Linked DNA regions of Neurospora crassa OR74A. The protein of the gene in region 1 binds, or shares a complex with, the protein of each later gene. Links are inferred from orthologs where the notes say so. Each region holds a gene or a part of one and is shown on either strand. Other genes may lie near its edges. The genes, in order: NCU04171 and NCU07560.

Region 1 (4,216 bases):
GTCTCTCTGGTCCCCCTTGATTTCCTTGCTGGATCACGAGGACGAGGATATGAGGTACCACGCTGCCTGGTGCCTGGGCACGGCGGTGCAAAACAACCAAAAGACGCAGGAACGGCTGTTGGCCATGGGCGGCGTGCCCAAGTTGGTGGACCTGGCGATGAAGGAGGGCGAGTCGGAGAAGGTGAGGCGCAAGGCTACGTATGCGCTTAGCAGTGCGGTGAGGAATTATCAGCCGGCTATGGATGTCGCGGCGGACGAGATGCATAAGCGCGGTCATGAGGTTTTGGTGAACAACGGGACCAAGGTGGATGCGGCGGATATGGATAAAGTGGATGAGGTTATTGACGTTTTGAGAAACAAGGCCAAGTCTGCTTAGAGCTGTCTAAGGGGATGAGTAGGTTGAGGGTTTGGGGTTCATGATGGGGATGACCAAATGAAAGGAAAATGGGACTGAAAAGATATGGTTTTGGTTTTGGCATTGGAAAAGGCGTTTGGTTTTTTTTGTTTGGAGATCCTTGGTTGATCAAGACGAATGGGTTCTGTTGTCATAATATCTTGACCTGTTCTGTGCAAAGCTAGACTGGGATATGGATATGTGGTTCTAGACTTGGGAGTTGTTTATGAAGCAGATACCCTTGACGATGTCCGTTTACACAATCCAGTTCACGCAATGATGACACCCTTCCAATTGTTTTACGCATTTGTGATTCTACTTCTTTGATCTTTGACCGTCAGACCCGGTGGTATTGTTCTTCTTCCGTTTCCTTTCCACTTCGTCTATAAGCCTCCTCCTCGTGATGTTGTTACAAAAGGTATATATACACCCAACATACATCGTCCTTATGTGGTTAGTGTATTCGTATTGTACAAGTTTCACACATCTCCTCATCCTCCTCAATTGTCATCCAACAACTATCATGATGCGAGATGTTGTTCATCATCTTCTCATCCCCCTTCCTTGAATCTCGTCCCTTTCTCAACCTCTCACGATCAACAGCCCGTTTGGCGCTTAGTTGCTGTAGAAAGGAACGCCGAGGGACTGGAGCAGAAGCTTAGCCTGCCTGTCGGAGGTGGCTGTCGTCTTGATGGCGATGTGGCAACCGGGAATCATCTTGGCGGGGTACATCTGGAGAGGATAGAAAGTCAGTAATCTGTCGTCAAGTCCAAGAAAACAAGAAGACGAAGCAGACGGTAGGGCCAAAGCCGGAGCCAGAGCCGGAACCAGAACCCTCCCTACTGTAGCTTCGGCTCCGGCTCCAACTCCAAACTTTTGTTCTCCTCCGTCCTCTCTTTCTCTTCCACCCATCATTTCCCAAGAAACAAACTCACATCATAGTTGCATTCCACCTCGGGAAAAAGCTGAACATCCTCCGGATTCAAACCAAACTGCACATTACCGCTTCCATCACCCGTACTCGCCGGCACGCCCTTCCAATCCTTGATCCGGGGGAGAACCAAATGGATCAACCGATCCATAAACTCCCACGCCGCGTTTCCGTAAATCGTCGTCTTGCAACCAGCCGGTTTGTTCGCCTGCAGCTGCCACTGCACCACGTTGTTCTTGGACCTCGTCATCTCCGGCATCGTCCCCGTCATGGCCAGCAGCACCGCCCGGGCCACAATCAACAAGTCCGGGTTCTTGAGACCGAGCGGCACGAAGGTGGAGACGGTGATTTCCTTGATCTCGGGGATGTTGCGGAACGAAATGTCGCGCTCGCGAATGGGAAGCTCGGGGGCACCGCGGGGCGCGCGGCGGGCACGGTTGGCGAAGTAGGGCGAGTCGCCCTCCCAGGCACGCAAGCGCTCCGTGGGTTCCTTTTTGGGCGTTCCCGGGGGTGTGTGGATGTAGGCCAGGGTCATGAGGTCCGAGGCCATGACGGTGCGGAAGGTTTCCTTGAGACGAGGCATGTTGAAGGGGCCGGGAACGAAGTCGCGGGCGATAGGGTCGGAGGAGGGAGGGGATTGGATGGGGTGGAGGGGGCCGCGGTTGTACTTGGGGGGGTGGTATTGGTATCTGTTCGGTAGGAGGTGAGGCATGGTGGTTAGCAACGTTTAAACATCTTGTTTATGGTTTGCGTATATGTATGTATATATACATGTGTGTGGCTAGCTATGTAAACCACGGGACGGAGGGAGAGTGTATAACGCACCTGCTGCTAGGCAACCTCGCCTTCCTGTCGGCCGCGCGCTTCCATGGCCTGAACTCCTTCTTGTCCTCTTCGCTGGGGATGGGAGCGTCCAATGCCGACCGTGTCTCAAGCTCGGCGAGGTCGGGAATGTTGGATTTGGGAGTAGCGGCAGCAGCGCCGGCACCAGTTTGTGTCGAGGCGCATCTTCGGACGGCGAACTGAGCAGAGAAAGGCTGAAGAGCGCGAGCCGATCGCGAGACCCCGCGGAGACTGGCCATGGTGAATTAGGATACCGAAAAAAGAAACCGGCGTTCGGGCGGACGCTCTGGTTTCGGAATTGGCGACCGTGGAGGTTGTCGCTTCGGAGTGGTGGTTGAGGAAGAGGGTCCGGCGCACGCGGGAAATCGGGGCCGAAGGTCTGTCACGGACGGGCAGAGGGCAGCGAGGTTCCTTCTCCGGCAAGCGCAAGGTCCTGGTCCCGCGTCGAGGCTCGAAGAGGTGCCGGTCCCCGTTGTGCCGCCCGCCGGAATTTTTTTTGGAGCCTCTGCGGAGTCTCGAACCGGGGCCAATGCTTGGCAGCACGGGCCAAAGCTGGATGAGTTTGGGGTTAGGGATATGAGTCTGTTACCCCTGAAAGCGTTCCTGGACCCCTGAGAATGCATCTGATGTGGTTGATGAACTCTAAATAAAGCATGGATTTGGAAATATATCACTATGTTTGTACCAATATAAGCGATTCAGATCAGGATTCCAACACATTAAGACGACATGTATGATTAGATTAGGAGACACTTGTATATGCGTACGCTTCCTTTGCTCGAAGTATCCTCCGAGCCACTAATAATTACATCATTCCGCGCACACCTTATCAGCATGTCTAGCAATAACAACAAAGTATGTAACGGGGAAGAAAGAGAAAACAGAAAAAACATCCAAGTATCATCATCACCGTCCAAGACTACGTCCCCATCGCCTCTCAATATTCTTCCGCCCAGAGCCGCTTCTTCTCACTTGTCCCACACCCCCATCACCATCCCATTTCAACTCATAATCAGACTCCCCATCTTTGCCCAAATTGGGTAACTTCACCTTCACCATCCCCTCGTTTCTCCTTTCTATACTCCTCCTAGCAGGAGAAGTAGTCCCAGCCGGCTGAATACTGTAAAGCAACAACCTTGAGCCAGCACCGCAGAACTCCGTCTTATCACCGACGCAGAACGACCTCTTGCACTCATACAGCTCTGACGCCGCCACCGCCGTGTCCGCGAGCGAATTGCCGCAGTAACACTCCTTGCCGAACTCCACGCCAAAGAGACTGTAGCCCCTCGACTGACAGCGTTCGTGGCACATCTCGACCGTCATGCTCGTGCTGTTGGTGTACGAGTGAGCTTTGAGAATACGAGCCGTTGAGTTGTCGATGAAGCAACCCTGTGGCGTCGCCAAGCGCCCGTTAACCACGGACGGGTTGACGAGCCGGGGCGTCACGTAGTTAGTTTGTCTGAAGACGTCCAGACGAGCGCGGCCACCGCAGCGTGTTGATGGGTCACCGGCGCAGGTGAGATTACAGCCAGTCTGGCCGAGGCTGTAGCCGGGCTTGAACTCGAGACCACAGTAGCATTGGGATTGGAACTCGAGGCCGGCGAGGGGGTAGTTTTGCTGGGCGCAGTAGTTAAGACATTTTTGAATGGTCATGCCGGCGCTGTCGTATAGGTAGGTGCCATTGAGCGCGCGAGCAGTAGGCGCGGCGGTGTTGGAGTCACTGGCACATCCTTGGTAGTCCCAGTTCACAACAGCAGGAATTGTAGGCGAGGCTGAGGCGATGTTCGTGGTGGAAGTAGTGGCAGCAGTGGCGATGGTCGTGGTGGCTTGAGTAGGGGCTGTAGTAGCAACGGCGGCGGCGGTTGTAGTAGTTGTACTAGTTGTAAACAAGACTGGGGTGGTGTTCGTAGTAGAACTAGTAGCGGTAGTGGTGGTAGTGGTGACTGGAGCAGGATCTGTACTCGTGACAGCCGCAGCGGTTGTAGTACTTGTGCCAGCGGCAGGAGGGACTGAAGTGACAGTAGGTGCAGAGAGAGTGGTACTGACAA
Region 2 (4,556 bases), on another chromosome or scaffold:
CAGCATCCAAGCGGTTGCTGGCACGGAAGCTTTGCTCAGTCATCGTTGATCAGGATGACGCTTATGTATTGGGCATGATAGAAAGGAGAAGTACTTTCTGATCACTCATGTGATGTATATGTTAGATGGTGTATGGTATCAGGGCCGGCTGGGGTGAATCTGGGTAAATATCCTGGCGGACAACTGGCGTGCGGTAGTTTTTATACATTAGGATCTTTTCAATGAACAGACATGACTTTTTTTTTTTTTTTTTTGTTGCATTTTGGTCATCGTTAAGGAACTTGGACTATGTAGTGTAGTCCACTGTTTCCGGCATTGCGCAAGGTGTGCTGAACAAGTCGGTTGATAACGTGATGACTGCTCATTCTATTCTTGTTCATCTTTTTTTGATATTCCACTAACTTGTCCATCCATTCTGATACGTAGCCTAGTAAAGATTTGGAAAGCTTGTCCGAACGCTAGCAAGGAGGCAGGTCTGATAATTCTATGAGATGAAGCACGCATATGTATATCGTGATCAGCGACATGGATGGTGGAAATGAATATTCTGAGCTGGGCAGTATGTGCATTGCGGCGTAGCTGAGACTTCAGTAGATGTGGCCGTGCTTGATCGCGACATTGACCGGAGTGACGACAAGCAAGTGTCGGGGATGGAGAACGATCCATGAATGATCTCAGGAAGGTTCATATCCAAAGTCAAGGAATGAATCGACAGGACACCAAGCAGCCAGACAAGACGCGTGCCACAAAAACGAGGCTTGAGAAATTCGAGACGGGGAAGCATTTCACGAAGTGGCAAGAATAACACTTTCAAAGAAACCAGCCCCATCTTGACTTTCATCTAGCGAAGTCTCCTCACACGTAGTGTACATGCCATGGAGAAGGAGACTGACTGACCAGACTGACTGGGCCAAGCTCATTTCTCAGAAAGAGCAAACACACACACACACACACAAGACAGTCTGCAGTATTATTACATACATACAATGCAAAACCGTCACGAGAGTTCGCAGGAGAAAAATATGTAAGCAGATTCTATCTAACAGCAACCCGGTAGAGCGTTTATAGGCAGGTACCGCTAGCGAATTCGTCTGCTCATGGTGGTTCCTCTCGGCACGGACTAAATGATCAGGACAGTTTTGGAGGAAGAGAAACGTCGTGATGATAAGGAATGGTGCCTTGAAGAAAGAAAAAAAAGAAGAAGAAGAAGGAAGAAGAGAAGGGGAGGGGGGATTGGTGGCAGTTTTATTGCAGCAGTTCAGTTCAAAAGTTTGCTGGACCCGCTTCGGTCAGGTGAGTGGTCATGTGGGGTCGTAGGAGCCGTGAACCTAACTGAGGACGTGAAAGTTATGGTGGGGTAGGTAGCGGGGGGGATTGGTTTTGGAGAAGAAAAAGGGAAGCTTTCGAAAAGGGAAGGCGGTGAAGGAAAGTAAATCGGTTGCCAAGACTCAATTGTTCAATCGCGACCAGGAACGAAACGAGCAGGGAGGGGACCTGACTGATCGGTGCGCGGCGGCAGCGCGGCAGGCGGGAGGGCCCCAGGGAAAGAGTGGGGCTGCGGACATCGAAAAAGTTCACGGCCGGTTTCCCGCGCTGTGTGTCGCCCGTCCGTCCGCTCTGCCCTGCCTGCCTGCCCGCCCGCCCGCCCGCCGCAGCGACCGACCGACCGACCCCGTCCCGCATCCACCCCGAGACTTGCGAGAGAGAGAGAGAGAGTTGCGTTGAGGATTGGCGCGCGCGCAAGATTCACCCGTCCTCCCTCCCTCTCCCCGTCCCGTGTCCCGTTGTCTACACACCCGGGCCCCGTTCAACAACCAAGTCATATATACTGCCCATCATGTCGGCGTCGAGTAGGGGAGCTGCTCTCCTTAGGAGTATGGACCACTTTTTCTTTATCTTCTTTTCGTATCGTCAACTCGTTACGAATTGGTGTTTTCCATGCATGGCTTCCGATCGCAAACTTTAAGCTTAAAGACACCATAACTAACCCGTCGCAATCTGTTCTTTCTCTTCCTTCCAGGCCAACAACGGTCCATCTGCCTACAATGCCGCAACCAAACCCGAGTACTTGCGCCCGCCGGCGTCACCAGCGCACCTAGACGTTTCTACTCCGCCGAGGCCTCTGCCACTGCCACTGCCACTGCCACTGCCACGACCACAACAACACTACCCCCTCCTCACCCGCCCGTCACCACATCAACAGGCACCCACGCCGCCACCTCGACCTCGTCGCAAATCTACCGCATCAAGTCGGGCGTGATCCTGACCCGCCCCCCGCTGCTGACGCGCGACCTCACCCCCTTTGAAGAATCCTTTTACTTTTACCAGAAGCGCCTCAACGAGCGGCTGACGGCCCCCTTCCGCAAGGACTTTTACTTCAAGAAGGACACGGCCGCCGACCTGGACTGGCGCATCAAGCTGAAGGAGCGCCACGGCGTGCCCGCCAAGGACATTGGTCGGTACAACCCGCGCGGCCGGATGGCGTGGAACGACGAGGTGCTGGTGGGGTCGCAGACGTCGTCGAGAAAGCACATGGTGGAGAAATTGCTTGCCGACGCGGAGATGCGCGTGTCGGAGGATGGCGAGGAGATCCCCGCCGAGGACCGGGTCCCCGTCGAGAAGCCGATGCCGAGACGGACGGAGGCGGATGAGAAAGGGGATGTCAAGCGGTTGGATCGCGCGCTGGACAAGACGCTTTATCTGGTAGTCAAAAAGAAGGCGGACAAGGAAGGCGAGGAGGCCAAGTGGATGTTCCCTACGGGCGTGGTGCCTACGGATGAGGGGTTGCATGAGGTTCGTTATATTCCCTTTTTCCCCAACCCAACTTCCAACCATTTTCCAAAACTCGCGGCCAACTAACCTTTGATGATGACGATAAACAGACCGCAGCCCGCATCCTCGCCGAGTCCGCAGGCGTCAACATGAACACGTGGATCGTCGGCCGCGTGCCCGTAGCCCACCACGTCGTCCGCCCCGTCTTCGGCCAGAAGGACGGCGCCCTGCTCAAGAAGGGCGAGAAGATCTTCTTCCTCAAGGGCCGCATCATGGCCGGCCAGGCCGACCTGACCGACAACCTGCATGATCTGGTCGACTTCAAGTGGCTCACGCAGGAGGAGCTGCGCAGCACGTTGGCGGAGGAGTACTTCCACAGCGTCAAGGGCATGTTTGCTGAGAGGTGAACAACACAACACAACAACACCCTATGTAGCCTGGTCTGGTGAAGTGAAGTATGGAAGAACAAGGTTGGAGAGGTGATGATGAGTCGATGGTCGAAGTCGGTGAGACTACACCATTATCTTCCGGGGAAATAGAATGGGGAAGTGCAGTGGGTGGCGGAAGAAGAAGAAGAGAGAAGCATGTGTACAAATGTATTGATATCAAAAGATGGTTTTAGTCGGTCGGTGGCAAGGTACAATTGTTGTTTATGCGCTGAGTAGACCTGGACCGCCCCCTAGCCGAACACAATCAAAGGTCTCGAGGAAGAGAATCAGAGATGGTTTGGAACTTGACTTGACAGTTCAAAGGCCTCGCACGCCTCAGCGTACTTGACCAGGCCGAAGCCAAGCTCGCATGCCATGTCTGCAAGAAGCGGGCGAAGGCTGACATGAAGCACAGGGACGAGAGAGGGTGTTGTTTGTAATGTAAAAACATATGCTGTGTATAGAGATTTGGGATGAAGATGTCATACAGGATGCGAGATGGTTGGTGAATACTACCAGACATCCGCTGGGTTGGTCATACCGCTATCTGAGGTGAAGTCTGATACTAACATACACAAACAAGACAGACTGAGCTAATCACATATCTGTGACCCGATTCTGCATTAGAGACGTGGATAGGTATGGCAGTGACCTCTTCAAGATCCAGCCTTGATCAATGATGAACACCGGTTCTCCCGGCTTGAGACACACAGTCAAAGCTTGTGCCAGCCGCAGACCAAAGCAACGGTACTTTTGAGCTGGTTGAAAGTCCACACCACGGCGGCCTGTAGGATATCTTCACACGTCTCCTACGCCTCCATCAGGACATCCTCCTTGATCATCCATATAAGGCCGTTGGCTTACACCTCTAGCTGGGACACTTCTCGCGCGCGTACCAGTGGTGTACTCCTCCATTCCTCGTACATCATTAACAAATTACTTGTTGGCATTACCACACCACACACAAGTCAAGTCTCAAATCTCCACCCATCTGAAAAGCAATCTGAATAACACACAAATCGTGCCCAAAGCCCACACAAAAAGGAGCTCATACAGGAGGTCCCGATGATCATCCTAGAGATTCCGAATCCGGGACTTTCTGAGCGGAATCGAAGTGGTGAGCGCCAAAACTTCACCGTGGTCAAGGACCAATTTGTTTCCAAACTTTTCCCAGAAAACTGCCTCCCACGGGGGGAGACGATGAACCTCAGGTGCCTCCTGCTTCTCTTCCTCCTCCTCCTCCTCCTCATCACTGCCGTCACCGAAAACACTGGGCGGGGTGTCAACCATGCTTCCAGTCATACCAGAAGCGACAGAAGAACAAATACTTGACCGACGACTGATAATGCTGTTGGG

What was found.
Region 2: NCU04171 (region 1) and NCU07560 share a complex: the UniProt entries of both Schizosaccharomyces pombe proteins name them as parts of the mitochondrial large ribosomal subunit. The link is inferred for Neurospora crassa OR74A from reciprocal best matches to the Schizosaccharomyces pombe genes mrpl7 and mrpl17.

What each region holds. Positions count from the first base shown.
Region 1 is NC_026505.1:5,079,090-5,083,305, reverse strand, and holds NCU04171 (mitochondrial 54S ribosomal protein YmL7/YmL5), read right to left. Parts: upstream 2,683-4,216; 5' UTR 2,408-2,682; coding exon 2,151-2,407; intron 2,015-2,150; coding exon 1,330-2,014; intron 1,127-1,329; coding exon 1,010-1,126; 3' UTR 678-1,009; downstream 1-677. Other genes in the region: NCU04172 (hsp70-like protein), read left to right, coding at 1-376; NCU04170 (hypothetical protein), read right to left, coding at 3,075-4,216. UniProt on the Schizosaccharomyces pombe protein: Component of the mitochondrial ribosome (mitoribosome), a dedicated translation machinery responsible for the synthesis of mitochondrial genome-encoded proteins, including at least some of the essential transmembrane subunits of the mitochondrial respiratory chain.
Region 2 is NC_026503.1:4,356,536-4,361,091, forward strand, and holds NCU07560 (50S ribosomal subunit L30), read left to right. Parts: upstream 1-1,490; 5' UTR 1,491-1,837; coding exon 1,838-1,874; intron 1,875-2,020; coding exon 2,021-2,793; intron 2,794-2,882; coding exon 2,883-3,179; 3' UTR 3,180-3,744; downstream 3,745-4,556. Other genes in the region: NCU16690 (hypothetical protein), read right to left, coding at 518-841; NCU07559 (hypothetical protein), read right to left, coding at 4,275-4,556. UniProt on the Schizosaccharomyces pombe protein: Component of the mitochondrial ribosome (mitoribosome), a dedicated translation machinery responsible for the synthesis of mitochondrial genome-encoded proteins, including at least some of the essential transmembrane subunits of the mitochondrial respiratory chain.